Linked DNA regions of Mus musculus. The protein of the gene in region 2 binds, or shares a complex with, the protein of the main gene of each other region. Links are inferred from orthologs where the notes say so. Each region holds a gene or a part of one and is shown on either strand. Other genes may lie near its edges.

Region 1 (2,611 bases), on a different chromosome or scaffold from region 2:
CTCCCCATGGTGAGTTTCCATCCTGTGTCCAGGGCAGGCAGAGTGGTGGCAAAGTTCTTTTAGTCAACTGTCTCTCACTCTTTAAACATTGCAGGGTGGCTGGGGACTGGCTCAGTGAATAAGGGTATGTGCTATGCATGAAGACCTGAGTCTGTCCATTAGCACTACCGTTAGTGAAAAGACTGCTGTGTTCCCACTGTACATGCCTTGAACCCCAAGGTACAAGCAAAAAGAGAAAGTGAAGACAGGATTGTTGGGGCTTTTGGTCATCCAGCCTAGATATAGGTTCAGTGAGACAGAGCCCATTTCAAAGGACAGAAATATGGGTATACACCCAATGTCCTCTGCTAGTCTCCTTACATAGATGCACACACTTGCACATACATATGTACAACACACAAACAAACAAAAGCAACTTCTGGGCTAGAGTGTTGCTCAATGGTACAGCACTTTTCTAGTATGTACAAGACTTTGGACAGAACTGACTCCTGCCCCCCACACATGTGCCATGGATCATGTACCCTCTCCCCATTAACAAATAAATACAATTCTTTTAAAAAAAAACAGTGTTCTGGTTTATTTCTCCCCTTTACAACCAAGTGAAAACACTCCTCTCCTATGCAAGTTTTTTATATATCATTTTAGCTTCAAAAACTACAAAATAATTGACATTAAAATCTGAAGTGTCAAGAACAAAAAAATAGTAACATGGGGTCCAAAAAAACCACGGTACGAAGTAGTCAACGAATGTTTGAACATCATTCTACCTCAGCAGTTCAGGATGGCAGCCTGCCTGACCACAGCAGCCTTAAAAGGCTGCAAGGAGCGCAGATGGTAGTTATGGTCTAACAGTCACTGTGAAGATAGCACCTACAGCATCAATAGCCAGCCTTTCTTTCCTCTCCAGAAGCCAAGCTGAAAGTGTTGGCTCACACCTGTAATCCCAGCACCTGCGAGGCTGAGGCAGGAGGACTGTTATGACTTTGAGAACTGGAGAGACACTCTCTCGCAGTGAAGCAAAAACTACGAAAGAAGCTCCAGCGTCTTCTGAAGCAATGTTCCTGCATGAGGCCTCCCCAGGCTTCAGACCGTGGTGCTGTAACTCAAGGAGCAGAGTGACGTCTGCGGATCAGTACTGGAAGCTGCGCTTCGTCTGGATGTCATCGAGAATCTGCTGCAGCTCCTCATCTTCAAAACGCCCTTCCAGGCTGTAAGAAAACCAAGAAATGTAAGTGACTTGGCCGCTGGAGGTTTCCCCAGTCTGTCAAAGGAGGCTCATCTCCGAGCAGCTCGCTTAGCTCTACTGCCTCGAAGTTTAAACTGAATGGTTTTTGACATTCCTTTATATAAGCACTAAAAAGTTGTAAATAGAAAAAAGATTTTTAAAAGCTTCAACAGTCACACATGATGTAAATTTAATTTTGTTTTGTTTTGTTTTTTTCGAGACAGGGTTTCTCTGTGTAGCCTGGCTGGCTGTCCTGGAACTCACTCTGTAGACCAGGCTGGCCTCAAACTCAGAAATCCGCCTGCCTCTGCCTCCCGAGTGCTGGGATTAAAGGCGTGCGCCACCACTGCCCAGCAACTCAAACTATTCTTAAGCCAGCATGACCATTTACACCTGTAATCCCAGCCCTTGACAGGTGAAAGCAAGACAATCAAGATGTTCAAGGAAAGCCTTGGTTACCTGAGACTACCACCAACAAACCACAAAACCAATCCCCAAATCCTATCTCAAACACCATTCAACTACATTCCTATTCAATGCTGCCATGTCATTAACCCAAATATTAAATGCATACAACTTTTAGTTCTAGCAATTTGACTTATAGAAATCTATAGAAAATAGACAGAAATCTATCCCATCCGGTACTAACCTTGGAATCAGAGCTTTGGACTCTTCAGCAGTCTCCGGGCAAAGATTGGCTAAACAGGCCAACTCAAACTTATGTAACTTTTTCTGGAGAAGCAAGCTGATTGTAGCGGAAAATAAAAACACAGAAAGACTGTGATGAAGTGAGCAGTAATGGGGGGAAATAAGTATGATCAAAATATATACTTGAATAAAAATGTCACAGTGGGACCCATTACTATGTGTAGTTATATGCTAATAAAAAACAAAAATTAGGCCGGGCGTGGTATTGCACGCCTTTAATCCCAGCACTTGGGAGGCAGAGGCAGGTGGATTTCTCAGTTTGAGGCCAGCCTGGTCTACAAAGTGAGTTCCAGGACGGCCAGGGCTACGCAGAGAAACCCTGTCTCAAAAAACAAAAAAAATTATGTTCTCATTCAGTGTCGGTCAAATGCTAATCATTCATCAATAGCAAAAAGGAGATTGTAATATTTGATTATGGTTATGTGGGCATCAGAATCCTCCTTTGAAGTCACTTCCTGTTCCTACCCCAGAAAATCAACAAGTTCCAGAAAAAAACAAAAAACAAAACAAAAACAAAAACAAAAAAACAAATGAAAAACAGCAGGCAGAGCCAAGAACCCTGAAAAGAGCCCAGCAGGGTAAGGCGGCATATACACGCTGCATTGGAGAGGGAACTCGGGAGTTAAGTGATGCTCTTTTTAGAGGTCACAGGTTGAGTTCACAGTACCCACACGATGG
Region 2 (4,023 bases):
AAAGAAGAGGGCCCTCAAACTCACCCAGTAGCACCCTGCTCCGCCCACCATGCGGTCCTTTCTATGCTGCCTGCTTGTGCCTCTAGTCACACAACCTCTGAGTTGGGATAAGACCTCTCTGCCCTTTCCTCTCCTCCGCAGTCAGCCCTCGTTCTTTGTCCCTTTCAGTTCACTTTGGTCTTCCTAGCCAGCCTCTGTAACTTAAGGCGCACTCCCTGAAGGCGGAGAAATGAATGCCTCCCCTACTAGACACATCTGTGGAGTCAGTTGTTTATGCAAAGACAGTCATGGAATCAGCCTATCTCATTCCTCTCAAGTTCAATGCCTGTGCCTCCCTTGCCCCTCTGCTTAACCAACTCCTTTGCATCCCGTAGGCTCCCTTTCTCTGATTTGTCCCCAGAGAATAGTACTTTCCATTTCCGACACTGGCTCCTCTACTCAAGTTATATGCCAAAGGCATCAACCAACAGTGAGGTGGGAGCATGCGCAGATGCGTTCCTTCCGTGCAGGGGTTGGTGTACACCCCCAGGTAGTGGGGATACTTGCCCATCTCCCCCTTTCGTTGGCCCATGTAAACCAACCACCCCACGTCGTTACCCTTCTCCTGGGGCCTCAAAGCTCTGCCCAGCTGGGGCAGCGTGGACTCGCACAGACCCATCCCGCCCGCAATGCCGGGGTACGCTGGGGCCCTGTCTCCACCCTGCACCGAGTCCCCGGCTCCGCTCTACGTCACAAGGGACTCATTTTGCAAGATCCTCGGGATCCCCATATCCCAGGACACAGAAAACTGAACCTCAGACCCGCCCCAGAAGAGCCGAAGAAGCCACCCCACAGAGTGGGCCTCGGTTGCCATGGCAACTCGGCCTCCGTTCCCGCTTCTTGGACACATTTACGCTTGCGCAAGAGGATCGAGTTCGCGTCTACCAGGAGACTCCATTTCCACCCTACCCAGGATGCTCCGCGGTGCCTGCGTCGTGACGTCACGACGGGCGTGTCTACACGTGACTTTTCCGTGGTATATAAACAGAGAACGCCGCCAAAAGGTGGCTTTCTCTCCGAAGCTGGTGATCTAGAGTAGTTACAGCGGCTGCGCTCTTCTCGGTGTGGCAGCTCAACTTCCGGGTCAGGCTCTAACGCATGCGCAGAGAGTTAGGTCTCTTTTTCTCGTCTTCCAGCATTCTCCGAGACTTAAGGATTTGGAAATCCAAAGCACAGCATCACACTAACGTGACAACCAGGAAAGGTGCCTTCCCTTTCCTGGAGCCGAGGGACACAACGAAGTTCATCCCGTCAGGCCGACCGGGAGCAGCTTGAGCAACGGCCATGGCGGCTCTAGTGAGTATGAATGAGGTGGGGACAGAGGTGTCGCAGAACAGACCCCGCGCCCTCTCCTCGCCTTACAGACCCCTGCTCTCTTGCAGGGCTCCAGCAGCCAGAATGTCACCGAGTACGTCGTCCGAGTCCCCAAGTAAGTCCCCGTCCACCCACACTCCAGAACCTCGGCCCTGTGTTCCCCTGCCACCCCGTCCAAGACACAGTAACAGTTACCCCTTGGTAGTTAATGTCAGGGGTCGGTGACTTTGCCCTGAGTCAGACGGGTCAGGTCAGACATGGTGACTGCCTTTAATCTCAGCACTTGGGAAGCAGATGTAAGAGAATTTCTGTGAGTTCGCAGCCAGCCAGGTCTGTATAGTGAGTTCCAGGACAGCCAGGGCTACATAGTCGGGTCCTGTCCCAAAATAAAAGAAAACCCCAAACTGGTCACAGGTGGTATACATCCTGTTTTTTTGTGCCAAGTGCCATGTCCCTCAACTTCTAACTTTATTTTAGGTGGGTACATGCTAGGCAAGTACTCCACCACCGAGCCACACCCAGCCCCCTCTTAAGTTTTGTTTATTTTGAAGACAAGAGTCTTACTGTGTAGTTCAGATGGTTTGATCAGGCTGGCTTTGAACCCACTCAGATCCATTAAGACCCTTGCCTGCCTGCCCTTCTTTCTACATAGGGGTCCTCCGCACTTTTGGTTCCTTTTTTCTTTTTTTCTCTTTTGGTTTTTCGAGACAGGGTTTCTCTGTGTAGCCCTGGCTGTCCTGGAACTCACCTTGTAGACCAGGCTGGCCTCGAACTCAGAAATCCACCTGCCTCTGCCTCCCAAGTGCTGGGATTAAAGGCATGTGCCAACTCTGCCTGGTGGTCCCTTTGTTTCTTGAAGATTTAATTTATTATCTATGTGTATGAATGTTCTCTCTTGTCTCTCCTCTCTCACTCTCGCTCTTGCTCTCGCTCTCACTCTTTCTGTATGTGATGCTGTAAGAGAGCCTAGTGTCTGTGGATCTTTATCTGATGGGGTTGGGTTGGATGAGATGGATCTTGATTCTTTAAAACAAAACAAAACAAAACCCCTGAAAAACTAGAGCGTGGTTCTCAACTTGCAGGTTGCCTAAGACCATCGGAAAACACAGATATTTACATGACCATTTATAGCTTACAGTTGTGAACTAAACAAAAATAATTTTATGATTGGGTCACCGCAGCATGAGGAGATGTATTAGAGGGTCAGAGCTTTAGAACCATTGCTCTGGAGTCTTTTATGAGTTCCCAGAATTACCTACAACCAAGGGTGTAAAGCATAGATTTGTTGAATGAATAATCAATAGATTGAATAGTTTCTTGCCCATTCCAGGAACACAGCCAAAAGATACAACATAATGGCTTTTAATGCAGCCGATAAAGTCAACTTTGCTACCTGGAACCAGGTAAGTGGGTGATTCTGGGTGGCTGGGGCAGGGACCTAACCCTGGGCTGGTGACTATGTATAGTAATAACTTTACTGAAACGATGGTGCCCACACCTGTGGCTCCAGCAGATTTGTGATTCCAGCCATTTGGTGGCTGAGGCAGAAAGACTGAGTGTTTTAGACCAGCTTGTGCTACATAAATCCTAGCTCCAAAGAAAAGAAGTGCAAAGCAAAGCAAAGCATGTCAGAGGATGTGGTTCAGTCAGTAGAGCACGAATCTAGCATATATGAGGCCAAGCTGGATCCCCAGCGCCATGTATACTAGCCATGGTGGCACACGCCTGTCATCCCAGCACGGGAAGGGGGTAGGACCTCAAACTGAAGATGATCCTTGCCTGCACAGTAAAGCCCACGATACATATAGACGGTGTCTTTTTTTTTTTTTTTAATGGTTTTTCAAGACGGGGTTTCTCTGTGTAGCCCTGGCTGTCCTGAAACTCACTTTGTAGATCAGGCTGGCCTCCAACTCAGAAATCCACCTGCCTCTGCCTCCCAAGTGTTGGGATTAAAGGTGTGCGCCACCACTTGCCAGCCACAGACCATGTCTTAAAAAAGTAAAGTAGTGGGTAGCAAGATAACTCAGTGAGCAAAGAGGTGGCTCCAAGTGTGTCCTTGGATCTCATACAGGCAATGTCATGTACAACCTCCACAAAAAGAAATACACTTTAAAAGTTTGGGGTTTTTGTTTTTAAGAAAAAGCCAGCTGGCCGTAGTGGCACATACCTTTACTGCCAGTTCGAAAGCAGCAGAGTCAGTGGATCTCAGACTTCAAGGCCAGCCTGGTCTGCATGGTGAATTTCACTGTAGTGAGACCCTGTCTCAAAAGGATAAAATGATTCCACAAGATGGGTATAGCCAGAGATACTACTATCCCAGCACCAGGGAGGTAGAGGCAGGAGGATCATAAGTTTGAAGCCAGCCTGGGCTACATAACAGGACTTTCTAGATAATACTAAGAATAAAAAAAAAATGTTAAAGGCCAAAGTTTTAAACTATCCACTCTTTTGGGTGCCATGTTAAAATGTCACTATCTTCATATTGTTGAGGTTGCTCCTGGGCCTTCCTCAGGTGGTCACTATACATCTTTAGTCTCTGTACTCCATGATCTCATGAACCAGTCTGCTTTACTGTTATTGTAGTAAGTCCCACATTCCCTGTGACCAGAGTATTCTGTGTGTGTGATGTTTGTATGCATGTGGGCACGCTGTGCCTGTCAAGGCCAGAGT

Evidence for each region. The genes of interacting proteins can lie anywhere in the genome.
Region 1: Gtf2f1 (region 2) and Polr2d share a complex: the UniProt entries of both Homo sapiens proteins name them as parts of the TBP-based Pol II pre-initiation complex. The link is inferred for Mus musculus from reciprocal best matches to the Homo sapiens genes GTF2F1 and POLR2D.

The regions. Positions count from the first base shown.
Region 1 is NC_000084.6:31,794,647-31,797,257, reverse strand, and holds the end of Polr2d (DNA-directed RNA polymerase II subunit RPB4), read right to left. Parts: intron 1,971-2,611; coding exon 1,875-1,970; intron 1,209-1,874; coding exon 1,130-1,208; 3' UTR 549-1,129; downstream 1-548. UniProt on the Homo sapiens protein: Core component of RNA polymerase II (Pol II), a DNA-dependent RNA polymerase which synthesizes mRNA precursors and many functional non-coding RNAs using the four ribonucleoside triphosphates as substrates.
Region 2 is NC_000083.6:57,008,421-57,012,443, reverse strand, and holds the start of Gtf2f1 (general transcription factor IIF subunit 1), read left to right. Parts: upstream 1-1,155; 5' UTR 1,156-1,323; coding exon 1,324-1,335; intron 1,336-1,421; coding exon 1,422-1,468; intron 1,469-2,683; coding exon 2,684-2,756; intron 2,757-4,023. UniProt on the Homo sapiens protein: TFIIF is a general transcription initiation factor that binds to RNA polymerase II and helps to recruit it to the initiation complex in collaboration with TFIIB. It promotes transcription elongation.